3 linked regions of the Coturnix japonica genome follow. The protein of the gene in region 3 purifies or fractionates together with the protein of the main gene of each other region. This does not show direct contact. Links are inferred from orthologs where the notes say so. Each region holds a gene or a part of one and is shown on either strand. Other genes may lie near its edges. The genes, in order: GOLGA5, glycerol-3-phosphate acyltransferase 3 and SLC6A15.

Region 1 (7,295 bases), on a different chromosome or scaffold from region 3:
TATCCTGTCATTCTTTGAATGGTCAACATTCCACTTCTCTACTCTTTCCCGGGATTTGTTCAGTTCTACAAAGTAAAATGTTTATTTGAAGTTTTTAAAAACAGATCATGACCAGGTTTTTTAAATGCTCAGGATGTGCACACCACACTTCCTAAAGGAAAAGATCAAATACAACCAAGGTGAAGCAATTCTGAAACTTTAGGATGTACCAAAAAGTAGCAATACCAGACTTTGGCTGTCAGATCATGAATGACTAAAAAAACAATGATCTCAGAACACGTTTTCATTCTGTCTTGCAGCTGACAATCTGTCTTAATCCTTGCAGTGAACTACTGCTGAATAACCCTGTCTGAGCAAACCTTTGGAAACCTCCATAGAAAGCATCTGATTCAACACTACATGACAATAAGATCAACCTAAATAAAAGCAGACAATTACTATGTTAAAATGATGCCTAAATATTTACTGAGACCTTGTTTTTAATCAAAGTTCACATGCCAAACTTCAATGGAGAATAAATTCTGCAGCTTATACAGTTACTTTAAAAGAAAAGAATAAAAAAGGAGTCCCTCCTCTGCCTGAGGTACTTTGTAAAGTATTTTACTGTTTGTTTTTATATTCACATCTGCTATATGTCATTTAGTGTAGCCTTGAATAAAAAGCTACTGTAGACATGCAAAAATACTCAATCTGAAATTTTTACCAGCCATCAGCTACAGACAGAAAGCAGCCAGGTTTCAAGCTCTTAAAGGCATTTATTCGTAACTATTTTGCAAGGAACTTTAGAAGGCAGAAAAAAAATAATTTCACACTTAATATTTGCTAGTATTAAGATCTAAGTGTCGGAACTAACTCAACTACATCACTTTCATCAACATGTGTGTTATTTTTGTAGTTGAAAAAGACTTCCCATTTCTCTCAGCTCATTATTTTGAAAACCAAGAATCATTTTGCCTAAGTCACACATGCAGATTTATCTAGGAAGTTTTTATTATAAATATACACTAACACAGAAATAGCATTGCTTCCCAGTTTACCAGTATTTTCACAGTATGTTACCAGTTTAGGTTCCGAACTACGATACCTTCCTGTGTTTCTTTGGATCTCTGAATTAATGAAGCCATTTCTTGATTTAAAGATTGCACTTCATTCCGCAACAGCTGATTCTCTAGACGAAGGTTGGACAGCTCATGTGATTTTACATCATCATTAGCTGAAAGGCCAGGATTAGTTACTGCACTTAGTGATGAATCCTTCGTGCCATCCACTTGTGTTCCCAGTCCAGAATCTGAGCTGTCTGGAGTTTCTGTACAGAGAAATACAAGTTAGAACTGATCTAACCATCTGTAGGTCTGTATCAGTGGTTGAATGCACTTAATCTAATTTTTAAAAGTCAAAATAGCTTATATATATATATTAGCTTATATATATTCATATATATTATTATATATAATAGCTTATATATATTAGAATATAACATATTTTTGTGTCAAACCTAAATAAGTTATTTGGCCACAGAGCTGTATGTTTTAGCTACCTTTATGTAAAAGAGTGTTTCAGGAACCTTCAGTTGAAGCATCATCTTACTGATGATTCTGCATCAGTAACAATTCTCTCAAAACATGCTTTTAATATTCACTTTTAAAAAGCAATATAGGAATTTCTGATGCAATCTGAACAGAACTCACTTGAAGGGGGAAACCTACAGCCCTTCCTCAGCACACACATGGTACTGGATTAGTGTTCTGAAATTAATGCAGCCACTCTAGCAGTGTTGATTGCTATGTGCAGGCAGCTGGAGGATTTGTACCAGTATTAACAGAAAGCAACACAGCACACAGTGAACAACCAAGCAAGCAATGCAAAAACATTCCTTCTGAATTCACTGTGCCCCAGATCGACAACTGTTGAAAATCCACAGGGACAGACTACAGCAAATTCAATGCCAGACCGCAGTTTAGCTGTCACAACACCATTTTCTTCGCTCTGTGATTATCAATCCACTCCACCTTCCTAGCTGCCACTGCAACAGGTTTCATGAGCCACAGCTCATCAAGGAGATGGGGCAGACTGGGAATTCCTCACAGCACACAACAAGTAATCACAGCGATTGAAAAATGTATTCCATGTTTTCTCCAGTCCCTTTCCTATTGAAACATTTTTAAGAAGTATTCCTTCCTTCCTTTTAATTCATTTACATACTTTTGAAATTATCAATCTATCTTCATTCCTTTGTCTGGAAAACATGAGAGTCCTATGAAGCTAATAAAGCTAAAAATATCAATTTATAGCAGATTGTATCCAATGCAACATAATACTATAACATTCATTACTTTTGTCTGTAACTAATGGACTATAATCTGTTTCAACAGTTGTTATGCAGGACATAGGAATGACTGATAATATAACTGACTTTGAAACTAGTGTGCCCAAACTCTACACGTTAATCATGTGCTTCCTCACTTAGCAGCTCCAAGATGCAAACTCCACTGAAAAATAAAATGTACCACACTGAGCAAAATAACTGTTCCCCAGGCATCAGCTATCAAGGTACAACATACTATATACCAAGCTCTGAACCACTTGATCTAGCTGTGGATGTCTCTGTTCATTGCAGGTGAGTTGGACTAGATGACCTTTAAAGGTCCCTTCCAACTCTGAGGATTCTACAAGTCAAAAACTGGCACAGTGCTCTACATGCAAACAATACTCTAGCTACACTATTAGAAATACAACTATTTGCTTCAATTTTATAGACAAAACAATAGTAAAGACTGGAGAGCCAGACAGAGAATAAAAGTTTCTAACAGTTTCATTCTCCTTAGCAGACGCTTGAGTTTTTAACCACTTGGCCTGGAAACTATTTCAGGTATCTGCAGCAATGCACTACTTCTGGCAAAAACTGAACTCTGCCTATCTCACTTTCTCATGCCTGCAGCTCAAGAGAAGCATACCCATTTTCCTACCATCCAAGCCAAAAAAGTTTGACAGCTCTCCCATCTTTGACAGCACAGCAGAGAGAAGCTCACACTGTACCAGGCAGGGCATTGGGTAACAGCTAGAACCATTTACCAGCTGTAACAAAAGTCACTTGCTCCCATATGTGACATCATAACAGGCAACAACCCCAGGCAAGGGAACAAATGCAGCAGTGCCAGAACCAACACTTCCAAGTGGGGATGCATGGGTGCTGATGCAGCATCAGACCACGACTAAGGCGGGATGAGTTGAGCAGTAGCAGTGAAGCAGATAAAGAACACAAAGCATTTAAGTGACAAGTGATATAACCTGCCAAATTACTGTAGTATCTATCATTATTCTAGTGATGAAAAATACTTCACACATGTGATATACTGCTGCCACCAAATCTTTCATGAAGTGACAAAAAATCCTTTACCTAGCCTTACACTACACATACAGGGGTGTAAAATATCTCTAGATTTAATATTATTAAACTACCATTGCTTTTGCCCTTGACAGAATTATCTTCAGTAGCCACTGCACTCTGTGTACCAGTAGATACAGAACTAATGCTTGAAGTCCGAGAGTGATTTTGAACAGGTGTCTTGCTCTTCTCTCTTTTAGAGTCCATCCTTGCATTAGGCTCTTTCTCAGAACTGTTGAGAAAATCAAACAGCAACTCATCATCGGGTTCAGACTTTTTTCTCCTCACAAAATGTGAGGAAGCTCTGGACGTGGAAACACTTTCTGCTGAAGAAGCAACTTCTGAATTTGTTCTACGCGCCGGTTTTACATTTGCTGTTCCTGCTAAGATTGTAGCTTTTTGGTTTTTAATGTTATCAGCTGCTGAGGAGATGTAGGCTGCTTTGGATGATGTCTGATATTTCAGTTCTCTGGCATGCGGGGACAATTCAGAATATTCACTGGCAGAGTCCAAGTTCTTGCTATCGAAAACTGCATTGCTTGGTGTGTCTTTTTTGTTCAGAGCCGATGCAGCTCCTTGATCAACTCTGTTGAGAAGATCCTCTGCCTTTCCAGCCAGATCAGCAAGCCAAGACATGATAAACGTCTGCTGATGAGCTCTACATCAAAATTTCAGGAACATATGCTGCAAAAGAGAATAATTTAAAGTCAGACAGGCATTGAGAAGGCAAGAAGTGTGGGTTACTGAAAAACTGCTGCATTCATCTATTATTGCTGTAACTACATTAACACTTTTTTCCTACCAGATTTGTATTTTGTTGTTTTTATGACAGATGGATATAAACCAATTTAGTTTCTTAACATAATATACAAAAACACATGGCTTTGCCATTAAGCCATGTCTGTTCCTAGCAGGTGCTGATGCAACCCGTAAGCCGACCTGCAGCGGTAATAGAAGATAAAGTCTATTTGCAACTGACAACAATCACAGTGGAGGAGGAAAACGTGTCAACCAACATATTACAGAAATAGATGGATGTACGATCTCTCATATGCCTGACCTGCAGCTTCCATCAGGTAGGTCAGAGGAAGGATCTTCCCTCAGAACTAACTGCTGCCCTGAGGTGCCGCTATGACAGCACAGGGGGACGAGGAGCACCTCCCCGGCACTCATAGCCCACGACAGGGCCCCTTTACCCAGAGCCGGCCTGCGGAGGGCCCAACCCGGATCCAGAACGGCGCAGCGGCCGTGAGATCCCGCCCAGGCCCCCACTCCCACCCGGCAGCCTTCAGGAGCTGCGGAGGCCTCAGCACAGCCCGGCCTCACCTCCTCCCAGCGCCAGGAACACCCCAGCCCGAGCAGAGCGGCAGCCGGAGCCCACTTCACAACACACGGCAAAGCCCGGCCCGGCACTGCCCGGCACTGCGCACCTTCCGGTAGACGTGGCCGCCTTCCGGGCCGCTCCGCACGCATGCCTGCTACGGGAGCAGGGCTGGGCCGGGATTGCAACGGGCGGGGATTGCAACGTGTTTCTGCGCTGTGCTGGCAGGGGGAGCTGCAGCCCCGCCGTGCGAGCGGTCAGGCTGTTACATGCAGCCCGGTGTCCTCTAGCTTTCCTTGGCCAAGTTGATGCTGTGTAGGAGAGCGATTGACAGGTGGCATCACCTGATTCTCGAAGGCAGCTTAAAACACCAAAGAACGCGGAACCAGTAGGATATAAACCCCTCCGCTCTGCCAGCACAATAAATGCAAATAACTGTGTTCTTCCATCCTCCTGACCGCACAAAACTCTTCCCAGAAGCCTCATGTCCAGACCCACACTCGTCCCCCTGCAGCAGCCTTTCCCGTATCCTCTTGCAGCAGTCTTTCCCACACGTTTATCCTGTATGATAACACCCAGATGGCCCCGTTTCTGCTGAGCTTCCTTGAAAGCAGTGCTGGCTCTTATTTGGATAACAGACATAAGATTGTCTTAATTATTTTCTTTGAAGATAAAGTTTACATTGGGTATTGTGACTAAGCTTAGAGGGGACAAGAGGTGAGGTCAGCTCAAGGGCTTCCCATCTCCTTGTTCAGATGTATAAGAGAATCTTAGGGCTCCCACTGGTAAAGAAATAACCTAAGCACTAAGTCCTTGTAATTTCCCAGTCTTCAGCTTCCTTTTCATTGAGAGACTTTTCTATGGTTTCTGTGTCTGGCACTGAAGTAATTTTTAGATAGTTTCAGTTTTTATTATTGGGTAAGTAGAAAAGTACACGTAACCCACAGGGTTGTTTCATTCATCTGTAACTTATTGTATTCATTAGCTAAAAGGGGAAGTGAAGCCCAAGGCATCTGTTTTGAGTGCTTAGCACGTGATGGTGAGTGAAGAAAACAAAAACTGATGATGATGATGATTATTATTATTATTATTATTATTATTATTTTGTGGAAAGCCAGATAACTGGTAGGTCAGTTAAGGCAAACATTAGAGAAGCCTATCTCAAGAATAGAGCTCATGTCACATTCAGAAGAGTAAGAATAGATTTTCCTTCACAATTGCTCCAGTCCTGTGTATAATACAGCAAATTCCTTAAACATGATGAGTTTACATATATTTACACTTAACAAGTAGGTTAAGGTTTTAATAAGTAAGTTATGCTCTAAGGGACAGTTTTTACAGTAATTGTCAATTATCATTTCAAGGTGAAACCTTTTGGTGGAGGTCAGATTTACACACAAGATCCTTCATGTTCTTTTCCATATACATATCAGATGGGGAGATAGTTTGATCAATTCCCATAAGTCACATTGCCCATTGGAGTAGTTGGTGACTAAAACAAAGGCATCTGGCCCTAAAAGTAGTTTTTATTTTTCCCATCTTTTCTTCTTGACAGGATAGTGCAAGGCCTTGGAAAAACATACTTAAGCTGCACTTACAGCTCCTGCTGTTTCAGATTCCTCTCTGTTGAGGACTTGTTCTTGTCCTGAGGTTCAGGAATATCCTCTGTTTTACAGAAGATTCCCTACATTTTATCATGATAATCTTTCCATATGGAATCCACAAGGTGTGGGAAGGTTATGTAGAGTTACATAGGACAAAGGTTCCAAAATGTTCATTAGCAGATATGAATTATCAATTTTCATTAAGCTTCATTAGGATATAAACTGAAGGAGGAGATTATCTGCCCTGCTACCTATTCAGAACATACAGAGCTCAGTTTTGAGAGTTAATAGAAAATCCATCCTACCTCATGACAGATTAAGCAACACTGTGGAAGCAATAAACCAAATCAGTTCACAACCTTTAAGTTCTACATCATGTGACTCAGTATGCTGGATATAATCACTGTTTCCATTTAATGTGCATTTATTACCTCCTCAGATACTACTTAGAAAAAAGGATTTCAGGCCCCAGCAGAAGTCATGTTATCCTAAAGTAGGAGGGAATAAAAAACTGTAAAGTATCTTCTGTTCACATTCTATTTAAAACTCTGTCAAACAAATGCCTTGTTTTTAAGTGTCAACAACTGATTCTAAGCATCCTGTGCCTGCTAGGCTGAGTGATGAGAATGAGTGTTTAACTGTCACAGTGTCCTGTTACATTATTAGACAACTATCTATCTGGCACAGAGCCTTTGTTTCATCCAGGATATAGAAAATATACCAAATATCAAAGATTGGGGGAAAAAAATGTGATAATCACTGCATGCGTTGCCATTCAACCTTTCATTTATTCTCAAAGTGGCCTCATGTCATTGTCCACTTAAAGGCATCTTTGAATAAAATGGGATGAGCACTCTCATAAGTCTATGTATCAGTCATCTATGGATTTCCACGATTGTATGGGCAGAGAAATCAAAAACTGCAGGAAGAGCTAAGGTGGAAAGTCACTGCTCCTTACTGGAAAAACATGCTGAATCCCTTCCTG
Region 2 (7,235 bases), on a different chromosome or scaffold from region 3:
CCTCCTTGCCAGCTGGTGATCTGCACCATCCATTGCGACTTCAGCTGTTTCCTATCCTAATGCCCAGCTTCACACCACAAAGAGCTTTCACTACGTAATCTGACTCATCTCACAGAGAGGAAAATACCGCGTGCGCATACTAGAGATCAAAAAGCATCCTGAAAGTCAAGTACGGGCTCAGTTTTCTCAAGCAGATGAGCGAAAAGCCACATGGCAGGTTTCATCCATGTACTGCATTAACACTGACATGAGTGTAGGTGCTGAGTAGGCAGCCCAAGGCATCAGGTGCAGACCTAAGCCTTCACCAGGGACATGGGAGCCAATTTTGGGAAGAAGCATAAAACATCAGATTCTTCAACGTTAAAAATAAGTTGTGTATCTCGTGCTAATTGTTGAACTAGTATGTAAAGCTAAAAATCAGCACAGTGATAAAGTATGCATATAACGCAGATCCAACTCGGTAATGCTGCCATTCATGCTGCTCAGGGCTAATTAGCTTGTGTGCTTTAGTCACACACACTGGCCTGAAGATACCATGCTACATCTCACCAGATAAGAACAGCCTACCAGCCTTCCCTTCAGAACGTCGCCACCTCTTCCTGATAGGAAAGGCTTTTAAGTTTCCAACCCCTGAAAAAGAAAGCACCACACACAGCAAGCCAACAGCCTGTAGGAGATAGTTAAGTGACCTACAGGGGTCATGCAGTACTCAAAAAAAGCCCAATTAGACTTCAGATGCAAAAATAACATCTTAAAATATCGTCTCTGGTTTAGGAGTCGTGTTCACTGATTACTGAAGAGAGATTACCGAACTACTGCAGCTGAATGAAATCCCAAGTCATAACGGTGTTAGAATCACTGCTGTTCCTTTATTTAAAGAGGCTGGAAGGTTACACTCAGCACAAAAGCTGACGTGCTAGTTTAGGTGATCACTCCTTCCTGGAGGCCTTCCAAACCTCAACAGCAACAGAGATTTGAGAGCACCTCCCACACAATGGGAGGCAGGAAATTCTGTGTAAACGAAAACAGCCCTGCAAAAAAAGGAGCAATCATTTCAGAGGGAGGGTGAAAGGTTCCCTGGTTATCTACATTATCTTTTCCTCACCCTCATGAGATGTCTTCGTCATTGCCTCCAAACAGGACAACATAGTCCAGCTTTACAGGAAAGAAGGGGGATCTGCAACAGAAATGCTAAGTAGCTTCTTTTTTACCAGCTCCATGCATTATAACCTTAAGGCAAGATGTGGCTAGAGCTGCTGCTCTTTGTAAGCAGCATTTACTAATTAACAGCATCAGAAACACTGTTGCTCATTTTGCTGTGAAGTCAGGAGCAGTTTCAGGTCAGTGTTGTTGACCAGGAAGATGTTGAATTAATTATTGATACAACCCCTGTGGAGGGTAACCCCAGCTCTAGTAACCTGACCTGCATACAAGCAGCCTTCATTATTAAATCTGTTGAAACCACCCATAAGGACCTGCATAGGACTAGGGCAGCTGAGGTACTTAATTAACATAGCCAAAGAATTGAAGATTTTGCAGTAGATGTGCTAAAACACTTTTCCAGAAGCTATTTCTGGCCTGTCAGCAAGGGTGCATCATCCCTATCAGACTTATCTTCAAGAGCTGCTTTCCATTAACTTCTTCCCCTTCAGAGCTGTCCTCTTAGGTCAGAGTTCTCCACCCAACAGCTCTCAAACAACACCAACTACAACGATACAAAGACCTTCAGCAATGCTGTTAGACATCACTAGTCAGCAAAGGTTGCTTAAAGAAGTCAATTAATTCAACATGAATCAGCAGTCCCACAGTGATTCACAGATTTATAGGCTATGTATTTCCCCTTTCCTTTACTCGCCCTTACACTTAGCACTGCAAGACATAGCTCCTAATCCCAATGGTGGCTTAAAGAGCCAAACTGACACCTGGAGAACTGGGAAAGGAAGACACCCCATCCTACATGGCAAGGACCTACTGTTTGACCAATAGCACCAAAACACCCTTGTTGCCCTAAGGTATATTCTCAACTTTAGGTCCTCTTGGGTAGCTGCAGTGATCTCTAAAGCAAGCACCTTTGCTTCATAGCTACTGTTACACCCTTGCTCAGTGAAAGTGCATTCCCTGCCTGGCAGCATAATAAGCGATTAGAAATTGCTTCTGTTACCAGGGGCCACAGTTACATAATGTTAACACACCTACTACTCCAAGTATCTGCTACGAGTTACCACACTACAGGAGAAAGTAGCGTGGTACTCAAAAGCCCCAGAATTGGAAAGCATTAATGGAGGGGAGCATATGATTGAGACCAGGAAGGAAAGATGTACAAAATTAAAAGCTGGAAGCAACCTGGGGGTGTTTAGACAGTACAATACTCTGGGTTCAATCAACACAGCCCAACAGAAGTACATACTCAACACTGCTGTCTGTACATGCTTAGAATAATGCTCCTCGCTAAGGCAGCTCAGCATGGATAAGAAGCCATTGTGCACCAACTGATCTCCCTCGTCAGTAGTGTCATACCACCAGAACACTTTGATCCTTAAAGCTTTTCCTCTCCCTTTCCTTAGGCCATGCCTGCAGCATGGCAAATAAGCATCACCCCTTCTGAATCAAGTGTAAACAGATCTGTTTCTATAAGCAGACAAAAATACTGTCTCAAGTTCAGCACCATTCTCGCCTTGCTCCATACCACAGCCTCAATGAAAACTGCATGCCACAGGCTCATGTTTGTCTGCCACATTACACATTAGTGTGGATTAGCAGATATACTACATGCTTCAGACTATCTTGTTACTTGGTTCCCAAACTCCAGTGTCCAAAATGACAGAGCTAGTCCCTTGTAACAGATCAGCTCTATCAAAGCACATACATTACCTGACAATACAAGCTGTGCAGAAACGTAGCACCACAAGAGAGGACCATACACAGCCAAAGCAGAGTAACACTATACTTCACAAACAGCAATAGTTCCTTCAATCCAGCCCAAAGAGACAATAGAGGCTGCAGATGTGCAAAGTGCTCTACAGGCCCAAGATCCCACCACTATCTTGGCAAAGAAGAGGGGTTGGCCAGGAGATCCAAGGCTGGAACTGAAGAGGAAGCTGTCAAGAGAACCACTGCAAGGAGTCTCGCTTGTTCAAAACTGCAGCATCCTATGACTCAACACAGCCACTGCTCAGCAGGAAGCCCACAGACTGAATTCAACAGCCAAGGAAGTTTCAGGCAGCACAGCTGCACAAGGCTAACAGCCCTATATTCCCCACGTTCCGTTGTTAACGTTATTTCTGGCACAGAAAAGTCAGATGTGACAATACCTATCTCCAGGGGCTCTTGTAGGCACTACCTGGACCTGGCTCTGTGTCAAGCTGCTGAGCAAGGCGTAGCTGTGAGCCAAGGAACGGGAGACATTTCTCAACAACAGGCCAGCTGCGAGACGTTCTCTCCACGCACACGTTCTGTGGGAGAGGACAATCCACATCTCAAGTTCACCTTGATTCATCTCAGCAGGACGAGTCAGTTTGCTCAGGAAACGAAGCACAGCCCAACCTGGCCGGCTCAGAACCTCACAACCTCAGCCCGGATTGGGAACGGCTACTCTTCACCCTACACCAGCATAAATCTGCCTAAGGCCTCCAGAAAGCACTTAAGGCACGGAAAGCCTTAAAACGTATCCACGGCAGACACGCCCAAGAGCCATCGCTGAAGGACGGGACGAAAGGAGGCAGCACCCCCGGCACAGCCACAGGCCGTACCCGGCCCGCCATGGCGGCCCCACGCCCCCCGCCCCGGGTCAGCGAAGGACGGGCGGGCCGCCTACCTCCAGGGTCTTCACCAGCACCCACATGTAGGCCTCGGAGATGCCCAGCGAGATACCCAGCGCCGAAGGCAGCACGATGAGGGTGATCACCAGACTCAGCCACGCCATGCCCAGCGACAACGCCAGCGAGCCCAGCTCCTCCATGGCGGCGAGCGCCCGCCGGCACCTCCGGCACTGCCACTATCGCCGCGAGCGCGGGCGCCGCCGCCCTAAGGCCGTACGGCCCTACGGCCCGCCCCAAGGCCGTACGGCCCGCCCCAAGGCCCGCCCCCTCCGCACCGCACCGGCACCAGCGCGGTGTGCACGAAACGGGCGGCACCGGGCGGACCGGCCGCGGCATCACGACTGATCGGCTGCAGGGGGCGCGAGGAGAAGGAGAGCACGGAGGTGTCTGCATGGCGGTTGGGGACACAGGGAGCAGGGGGGACACGAGGAGACCGCTCCTCTGTGACAAAGGAGAATGCGTGTGGTTCTTCCATTCCACTTGCCTTAAGGAAGCATGTAACACATCACACCCCCCCCACAAGTTATCCTTGCTGCTGTACCAAAATTATCAGCCTCTCCTTCACTGTCTCTGTGACTGCTCACATCCTACCCCCACCTCACTTATGCTTTTGGAGGCTACAAACAATTCCAAATCCTCTTCCTCCTTTGACATCTTAAACGTGACACTCCTGGCCAAAATAGCACCTGAAGAACATTGCTTTGGCATTTCTACTCTATGCCATTCCAGCGTTGAAACATTTCTATCCTTTATCAACAATCTGTGTTCCTTCTGACTTTTCTCATCATTCCTCAATGTGAAAAATATATCCACACATGGTACCACAGCCCATTTTTCTTCCCTTCTATAAAATAACATTAGCTGTAGAACAGTATTATCATTAAAAGTTTGATTTTCTGGCCATTTTTGTTGAGCTTCCAAAGTATACATTGGCTGCCATCAATTACATACATTAGTAATTTTTCTTATGAAACAGATCCCATTCCAACTTTCCCCAGTGTCCCAAATGGCAGTGCCTTAGGTATTCCAATGTTGACAATTATCCAAGCATTAGCTATCAAAATACATTTTAAAAACATAATGATTAACTTAAGAATACACACATTCTTTCCCATACCTGTATCACCTGGAGCCAAGTGAGTTGCTTGTGCACAAAGCCAGAAGGCAGCTTGGGTCAGAAACAACAGGGTGTTGTTCATAATATAACACCCCGTAGAGCTACATTCAAAATTCACGTTCTCTTTTTTCACCATCAGGAAGACAACCATGGCCTTTATTCTTTACCCATGAATGTTCATTGCTGATGCAAATGGAGAATGCCAAGGGGGTTGGTTGGTTTGTTTATTCAGAGCATTGAGAATCTGGAATCTCTATCCTAAGGACAGATGTAGAAAAGTAGCAACAGCGTAACTTGTCTTGCTCCCCAGGTCAATAATATAGACATACCTGTGCAGTATGAGGGTTTTTTTTATTGGCTGACAGAACCTTAAAAATTAAAAGCAATGGATGATTTTTATCCATCCTGAGCACTTGTTAGCCAGGGTTCTCGTAAAACAAAAAGGTTGAACTCAATACAGTGCATGCCACACCAAATTCTGGAGTGAGGGGGCTGAGATCCGTCCATGTCCCTGAAACATCAGAGGAAAATCCTCGAGGCCTCTTCTTATAACATTCATCATAGAATTACCCAGGTTGGAAAAGACCTTGAAGATCATCAAGTCCAACCGCAGCCTAACTATAGTACCTTATCTTATATCATGAGGAAATAAGGTGTTACTTTCCTACTAAACAGCATGTCTGTTTTTACCTACCCCTGTTCTGGCTGGCATCAGACGTATTCAGACATCTGCAGACTCCATGAGCAAACAGTAGGGAATGCACAGCCTCCACCATTTGTTTCTTACAGCATGGGAAGATCACTATTTTGATTCTTGCTGTTACAGAAGGATAATGGGGAATAAAACGCTGGTGAAAAGAAATACTAACAGGCTCCAGTTTCAGGTGCCCACACTGAAGCAAGGCTGAACACATAAACAGAACCTACTGCATCCAGGTTTCCACTGTACTCTTAAATGAATAATTCACAAGGATATTAATGTTAAATTGGAGAAAAATCAATTTCCATGGTGAGCTGCTCAAAGAACCATTTTCTCTGCCTGGCAGAGTGTGTCTGGTAATGTGACATCCTCCTCTTAGTGACAAAGCTGCCAGCTCCTGGCGTGAACGTGCTCAAGTGCTTTCTTTCAATTCATCTTGCACTCCCATCAAAGGACAGCTAGCAAAAACTGTTGACTTACTTAAAGGAAAAATAAATTACTGTCGTTGCCAAGTGGCCTTTGCCTCTTTAAGAAAAAATATATATATATATCCAGCTGTTATAAACCACTGATCATTTATCTACTGATAAATTAGTTTAAAATTCATTCCATCATTCCATTTTGTTTGTCTGTATGTACTCCATGAGAACATGCAGTCCTACTGCCCCACTCCTGCTTTTTTCTTTCAGGTATTGTAACCATACTTTCACATGAACATGGCAGCATCATTCCACCAAAGACTCAGAGAGTGCACTCACGTTAACAGTTTTCAATGGTTTCATTTTCTGAAGGCCTATTTTATGTGCAAAGACTACACACAGTCATACTTTCTAATGCAATCCTCACACTTTGACTTCTGCCATGAAGCACAATACATGCAAAGAAGTGCAGAAGTTGAAATTAAATGCTCTAAGTTGATCTAAACCAGATGCTCCAAATGAATCCAAAAACTGCAGAGCCTTTTAATTTATTTCTTTTGGCTGTACTTATTGTATCCTACTTGATTATCAGTCCCTGTAGAGTCTGGCTCTGGGGTGTGTAACTGCAAACTTGGTTTCCAGAATCAGAGCAATCCCACTGAAGTATCTGGACAGCATTGTCTCCTTAAGCATTGCTAAGTTATTGTACATATTATTGGCTGCTGGTGGGTCAGATCTAGTAAGCTTTTTGCTTGTCTGCTGTCACTGGAGCCAGCAGCTTCAGAATATCAAACAGTAGGTATCTGTATTCTTTTAGAAACAAATACGGTCCTACATACCATACTTATTCCAATATTACCTTCTATCTCGTGCCATTCTGCTGTTCTGCAATGGCAGGTAGCCAATAAACCACTTGGGAATTCTGCTCTCTTTCATTTGTCTCGTGATCGCAGGCAGGTCATGCCTTCTCTCCAGCACTTTATTTGCTATAACACACTGTAAAAACTGATATGCTGTATACACAGAAGAGTCAGATAGTTTCAGCCTCAGTTTGTATCCTGGAACCTACCTGGAATTTTACCCTCTGCCGTGCTTCTGTGAACTTCTAATCCTTGTTGCACAGAAACTACAGATAAGCTTTAGAGGTAGCTTCGCTTTTACACAGCTTTTATGCCTAGCAG
Region 3 (7,239 bases):
AATATGAAGTCTACAATACAGAAAATGAAAGACTAAATTTTAGGAGCCAAAGACTGCTGTGAGTCTGCAATAAGGAACTGGGTATCTGGTGCCAACAGGATGGGGAGAATAGCTGATGATAATACTTAACTGAGAGAAAAAGAATACTATAGGAACAAAGCAGGTTTTGTGGGAGTACTGAACTCACTAAGAATGGTTATTGCTGGAGAATCTGTGAACAGATAATTATTTCAGCAAGAATTACAGAAAGCACTTAGCAAACTGAATCAGTGTTGCAATGTAGCATTATGACTTCTGGTGGAAACAAGAATATGCAACACAGTCTTTTAGTCCAGTCAAGTCTATTTCATCTATGCACTCCAGGAGTCATTATTCTGCTCTTCAGTATAAATTACATGACCTAACACTTTGTCCTATCTGGTTGAGTGCAGTAGATTCAAAAGCTATCTAGCTCAATTACAATAAATATTCTATAAAATGAAACTTACATTTATCTGCATTCCATAGTGATTCTGAGTCATGCTAATATACATTACACTTCTTTTGTTCGTTTGTTTCTCATGTCTGTAAAGTTAAATCATTTAGACCATAGCAGAAGTATTTAAATACACAAGATTAAATTCAGACCTGATGTAAATATGGGTAGTTACATACTTCAGTGACACAGGGTCTGCTTAGAATCACTGGGAAATTTGTTCTCAGTTCCTACAAAATGGTCTTATTGTTGTGCATCAAGAATTCACCAACAATTTCCTTTCCAGACTAGTCTCCTCCAGTTACTGGAAAATGTCTTCTACAGTCAGAAGAAAAACACAATATCTTAACAGAAAAAGTAAGATTTGCTTCTCAGAATTGTTCAATTTCTTCAGCATCACTGGGTGAAGAAAAATATCTGAGAGAGAAGGTTACAACCCAGGCCTCTTAAACAACATTTTATTTCTTTCCACTTCACACAGTCTCTGAACTTTATTGGTCCTACAGTAGTTTATCACCAGCTTTCATGTGCTTCTCAGTATTTTCTTCTCACAAATCAACCTCACTGAAATGCTTAACAGAATTGCTGGGCATGTTCTCTGTAATTTCCTATTCAGCTGGAGAAAACTATCACTTATCCTGATTGGTTTATTGAAGAATCAAATGTAGTAGCTACCACTCTTCCAGCTTGTTGCATGAAGTAATGCTTGCAGTTCTGAAGGTAACAACTTTTAACTGGAAAAGTGTGATAGCCTTAATGGTTGGCAATGTGAAACAAAATCTCTGTTTTCTAAACTAACCATATAAGCCACAACACAACCATGATTTTCTTATAAAACCTTATCTCACACTTTTGAGATGGGAGAGGATATGAAAATATCTCAAATAATTAATTCAAGAACTGAAGTTATTTAAGTTGAAAAAGTCAAGTATTGAAAATTAGACATTTTCCTTCTGTGCATCTGAACTGATCAATAAGTAAATCAAGTTGTCCTTGGGGAAAATAAATAAATAAATAAATTATATTCACTTTTTTCCCTGCTTTCTATACATAAGCTGTATATATGTATATATATGTATATGTATATATGTATATATGTGTATATATATGTAAACTGTATGTTAGCAGAAATGCTGCTTCTCCTCAAAACAAAGTGTTTTATTAATGATATAAATCATGCTTTCAAATTAAGTTAGAGTAAATCCCTGAATATAAAAAGAAAATATTTAATTGAAACTCCATTATAGAAAATTCAAAACTATAAAGTCCCTATTCCAGTTTCTCATCCCTTCTCCATTTTAGCATAAGAGTATGCTGAATCATTAGCGCTGCAGTACACATTTCTGGTACTTGAAATAGTAATATCATTTGCCAGCAGTAAAAGTCAGTTTTCCCAAAATGGGAAAAAGACCACTGGTACCATGAACTAAATTCAAGGCCTTACTGTACACAGCATTATACAGCCTTGTTCTTTTATCTTTTCCATACAGCAAATAAGGAACTGCTAGTCTCAGAGTGAAGAATAAGAACAAGGATTTCTGTTTCAATGCAGGGTTCTGGGAAACTCAGCCCAATTAATCCCATTCTCTAAAAACTCTTCTACCAGTTACCACTGATATTTCATCCTATTTTGTATGAACTTCTCAGGTTTTCAATATCTAGCTGTTTGAAAGAATAATGTTCAGTTATCATTATTCACTGATAAGTTTTCCTAGAACATTTCCTGAGTAATAACGGCAAGGCTACTTGAAGAAAAAGAGAGCTCCTGAAGTTTTGGGATGCCACCTGCTGATATGTCAAAGTTCTTCTACAACCAATTGAAAATTTAGAGATCACATAGAAAAGCCGCTTCTAATATTATTCTCTTTTACAACTTTTTGTTTGCTGATATAGATAGTTTATGATTAAACTGTTCTTCCAAAAAAAAAAACAAAACAACTCAATAGATATCCTATATTTTGGAGCAAGATTATTATTCCTTGATGTGAGTGGAAAAGTGTAGTGGAGAAAAGCAAGCTGGGGACATGGGTGAGCACACATAAATCTGTGGATGTTCTTAGTTGCGCACTAGAGGTTTAGAGAATAAATTCTGTCTTCTTGAGAATATTTCTACCACAAACCCTTCCCTAGAGATTTAATTCCATACTACCCCCACAGCAACTACCCCAATGTACATTAGCAAAGCAATTTATAACAAAAGGATTAGCTTTTATTAGTTGATTGCATGTTTCTTGCTGTTATCCCCCAAAATATATTTCTGAATGACCTGTGATTTATTTATTTTTTCTGATAAATTCAACATTCTAAAATTTTTGTGTATACAGCCTTTTGCAATATACGGCAGACCAAAGAGTTGACAGATCATTCAAACTATATGGTCTTCATCTGCACTACTACTTTTTTGCTCGCTCGCCTGTAAGAAAAAAAAATAAAAGCTGTAAGAATGACAAGACACTGGAGGTCAACAGGAATCAGCTTAGCCCGCAAAAGCAGTTTTAACATGCTTTAGCACTTCTTCAATTTCAGAATTGGTTGAACACCCAAATAGCAATTAAATTGCTTGGTTTTTCATCTATAGATCAAAACCATTGGAAATATTTCTTCTTGAATCTGAAGTGCCTAACTGAGGCCAAATGAAATTTTTGATAAGCAAATGCAGACTCATGCTGTAATTCTTATGTTGTCTTAATAAGGTCTTGGTGTAAATTTATTTCTTTTATTTCTTATTATCCAAGAGAGAGAGAGAAAAAAAAAAATAACCTACCTACATATTTGGTAAAGTTTCCTTTTTAAAAAGATACTGATAATGTGTATCTGAAAAACACAATGCTCAATAGATTAAAATAAATAAACAAATAAAGAAATAAATATTGGCATTGTTTTCTATTAAGTGGAGAAAGCAGAATAATAGATGGATAATACATCCAGTGCATATGAACATTGCATCAGATAAGTCAATGAAATTTTTGTTTTCTTCATTTATACTCTCCTTTGGAGTGGAGAGCAGATTTGGATCTCCATCCTACAGCATGTAACAGCGCCATATTTGTGGTGCCTTACTGTTTAAAAATAATTAAGGTTCTCCTAGAAATCAATACTACGGCAGTGAGTTTGATACACAGCAATATCACACAGACAAAAATAAAATGGCTGATAAGGACGAGGTCTTGGCTACAGTATCTTTTAAAAATAAAACAAAGCACAAACTACTGAAACATAGTAAATTCCATTGCAACATCTCAACTTGCAAATCAGTGTGATGGAGCAGGCATCACATTTACTTCCACAACAAAAGCAAAGCATCGCAATTAAATCCCAGTTTACCCTAATGCAAACGTGAGCATGGGAAATTTAAGATTTAATAAGAGATGAGATTTTAAAACTTGGAAGAGAAGTGCGGGCATCAATCTGTCACGCTGTGGATTTTGCAGAGGGCTGCAGTCATTACAAGCCCCTAAAGAAAATACCCTCCAGACGCATGGAGGCTGAGAAAAGGTCCTCATTACCATACCCACCCAAACATGGCTGACACCGGGGCGCGCCGGTCCTGCGCCTGCCGTTCTGCTCCGGCCACCGCAGCCGAGGGATGCGGGATGCGGGATGCGGGGAGCGCTGGGAGGATCCGCGCCGCTCTCCGCGGGCGACGCCCGATACTCAGCGACAGCAGCGCTGCGCAGCCAGGCCCGAGCCCTCCTCCGCCCGGCTCCTGCAGCGTCAGGGGCTGCGGAGGGGACAAGAAGATGATGGGTGCGACTGGCACATCTCTGCCCCGCATCCGCAGAAACCCGGAGGCAGCCGCTTGCAGAACGCCGCGGACCTTGCCATGCAGCCGCCCCCCGCCCCACTTCTGCTACTGAAACTCGCGCTGAAAGTAGTGTACGTCACATGCGGGAGATGAATGAATGAATGAATTTTTTTGTCACTCGTGGTACGAAAAGAACGTATATCCTCTGTTAAGAGTAAAGAAAAAAAGAAAAAATAATAAAAAAACGAGAGAGGGAAAGGAAAAGCGCACCTAACATCTTTGCAACCCACCGCTGAGTTCAAACACATGCGCGGCTTCCAGTGGGCGCTCGCTATTGTCTCCCGAGGGGCCGGCTCTCTGCTCGCGGGGCCGCAGGAAAGCGGGCATCGAGCGCAGGGCACCCCGCTCCGCTCCCCGCCCGGCGGCACAGACCCGGGGACGAGCACGACCGACACGCCCGCCGCTCTCCGCCGCGCCATCGGAGCCTCCGCCTTACCTCCTCCACCCACCGACAGCGAGAAGGAGCCGTGTGCCCTCACGGAGCAGTGTGCGGAGCTAAACGGGCGCGGGGCTCAGTAGCGGAGAGACAGTGACGGCGCGCACATGTGCCCAACCCTGGCTGCGGCGGCGGTGTTTAAAGACAGACATAAAAGCGGCGGGGGGAGTGCAAAGGGGGAGGGCGGTGGTGGGCCGGGGGAGCCGCACCTCCTGACGCAGGGAAGAGCCCCCCCCGCCTCCACCGCCCGCAGCAGCATCTCCTGAGCTGGAGGCGGGCGGGGAGGGGCGGAGGAGAAGGGAGACGCCCCCCACCTACTCGCCCTCTTGCCGGCGCCGCCGGGGCCTACTCGCAGACCCGTACCCATGTGCTTCATGCGTGGGCTGCGAGGGGCCTTAGGGTAAGGGTACAGGGGAACGGGCCGGGAGGAGACCCCCAGGTGGTTGTGCAGAAGAGTGAGGGATGCAGATCTGAGGAAAGAGCAGGCAGTCAGGGAAAGGACTGCAGCAGAACGGCTGCCGTGGGTCCATCTTCGGGCTGGAGGCCGGGATGCACACTACAGATAGCACCAACAAGGGCTGCTCGTGGTGGTGAAGAAGTCTTGTAGCGCTAGTTTTCATTGCTGCCACAAACAGCAGCAATGTGGGGGTGTGAAATTGAGACATTTATCTTTATTTACCCTGTAAGCTTCCTATCACTAAGTCTGTCCACTGGCCTTGTTCTGTTTTGCTTGTTTGCAAGCATTTTTCTCAAAAAAATGTTCATCAGTTCTGGTTAGGAGGAAGACAGATGATAACGGATGGAAAGGAAACTGCTTAGAGGCACACAGCTGGCCTAGGAAGGCAGGTTTGCTCTGCTGAAGAAGGGCGCAATGGAATGGAGAATGAACTCTTTTAGAGTTCACTGTGAATTAGTGCAACAATAACTGCAACAATTTAACACATGTTGGAACTGAATAGAACTTCCCTACACTGCCTGAATCATGGAGAGATATTTCTTCAGTGTTGCAGTCTCTCTAGCTGACCTGAATGTTTAGTTGAGAAAGGTGTGGTGCGAACTTCTGTTCATATTTCTACCTCATTATCAGAAGCAGTTTGTCGCTGTGTGGTATGTTCCTCATTGTTAGTACATTTTAATAAGAATTTCAAGAAGCAGTGTTTGAGTTGTGTGCAGAAACAGTTCTGTAAACAATGTATTCTGTATTCTACATATATTTACAATATGTTTGATTAAATTTATTTTTGGTTTTGTCTTTTTTCTTTGAGTGTGACAAGGCACTGGAACAGGTTGCCTTAGAGTTGGTGGATGCCTCATCCATAGTGAGTTCAAGGTCAGGCTGGATGGAGCTCTGAGTAACCTGATCTAGCTTTAGGTATCTATCCATGCTCACTGCAGAGGAGTTGGATGAGATGACCTTTAAGGGTCCCTTCCAACTCAAACCATCCTGTGATCAGATACTATTTGGAACTCAGTGATAATGAACTTTCCTTAAAGAAGTTCTAAATGTAAACCAAACTTCTTTATACTAAGCATCAATAAGCAGAAGAATTTACATGTTCTACTACCACATGATAAGAATTAGGCTTTTTTTTTTTTTTTTTTTTTTTTTTTTTTAAGATTAACTGATAATGTTATCATATGATCAGCTTATTGCCGCAGAAAAAGGTCATTCCTGGATCTTTTTGAATTCTGTGTACAGTTAATGATGAGCTCAGATCTGTAATCATATTGTCAGTTATCTGATGACTAATTTTACTGTGAGAAAGGCATCGTTCAATTTCTGATGTCCATCAAACAGATCATCAGTTACTTACCTTTTCTTTCAGCAACTGCAATTCTGCTAATAACATTTTAATAAGCAAATACAAAATATCACAAGGGTAAATGTTCAGCAGTATTTTCCTCTTCAGACTTTCTGCAACCCAACAACTTACATTCTGAATAGATGGGCTAGGGCACTTTTACTGCAGCTCTTCTAAGTAGGATACTCTTGCTGCAGATCTTGCCATCACATTTTTCATCTTGTTATTAAGTTCGCTGAAACTTAAAACAGTCATCTTCAAATCTCACTCTGATTCAATCTTGAAAGAGGAAATATTTCCATCTTCAAAACTGTAGAAGTGAGTGTGTATAAGTGACAAAAATATACAAAAGTAGCTTGCCATTTTTTTCTTGCCATGTTTTTAAGCACTAGAAGCCATTGATAGATGAAAATATTGAGAGTAACCCTTTACAATGTTGAGATACATTGTAGGCTAATCTATCATTCTGTAAGCCAAGTGACTATGCATATAGAGAGAATGCCTCATTTGCTGTTCAAACTTGATGCATCTGCTCTATCTGTGCTGGCAACTCAGGAGATCTGAGGACAGAAAGAGTCTGAGTGAGAAGCAAGAAAGGCCAGCATGAAAAATGTCCTACAGTAAAACTGCATTTTGTTGGATGTAAGCAAGTCTAAAAAGAAAACAATAAATAAATAAAATTGCTTAGAAATCATATTTTTATGCATCTTTTAACTATTCA

What was found.
Region 1: the proteins of SLC6A15 (region 3) and GOLGA5 purify together in Homo sapiens (co-immunoprecipitation; 3 studies listed by BioGRID and IntAct, counting the BioPlex papers as one, with this or other methods). This does not show direct contact. The link is inferred for Coturnix japonica from reciprocal best matches to the Homo sapiens genes SLC6A15 and GOLGA5.
Region 2: the proteins of SLC6A15 (region 3) and glycerol-3-phosphate acyltransferase 3 purify together in Homo sapiens (co-immunoprecipitation; 3 studies listed by BioGRID and IntAct, counting the BioPlex papers as one, with this or other methods). This does not show direct contact. The link is inferred for Coturnix japonica from reciprocal best matches to the Homo sapiens genes SLC6A15 and GPAT3.

Annotation. Positions count from the first base shown.
Region 1 is NC_029520.1:40,659,585-40,666,879, reverse strand, and holds the start of GOLGA5 (golgin subfamily A member 5), read right to left. Parts: upstream 4,904-7,295; 5' UTR 4,816-4,903; exon of another isoform or gene 4,712-4,815; intron 4,579-4,711; exon of another isoform or gene 4,446-4,578; intron 4,070-4,445; 5' UTR 4,022-4,069; coding exon 3,460-4,021; intron 1,307-3,459; coding exon 1,085-1,306; intron 66-1,084; coding exon 1-65. UniProt on the Homo sapiens protein: Involved in maintaining Golgi structure. Stimulates the formation of Golgi stacks and ribbons. Involved in intra-Golgi retrograde transport.
Region 2 is NC_029519.1:41,398,083-41,405,317, reverse strand, and holds the start of glycerol-3-phosphate acyltransferase 3, read right to left. Parts: upstream 4,047-7,235; 5' UTR 3,959-4,046; coding exon 3,815-3,958; intron 1-3,814. UniProt on the Homo sapiens protein: Converts glycerol-3-phosphate to 1-acyl-sn-glycerol-3-phosphate (lysophosphatidic acid or LPA) by incorporating an acyl moiety at the sn-1 position of the glycerol backbone.
Region 3 is NC_029516.1:37,874,914-37,882,152, forward strand, and holds the start of SLC6A15 (sodium-dependent neutral amino acid transporter B(0)AT2), read right to left. Parts: upstream 4,829-7,239; 5' UTR 4,717-4,828; intron 4,604-4,716; exon of another isoform or gene 4,491-4,603; intron 4,197-4,490; exon of another isoform or gene 3,991-4,196; intron 1-3,990.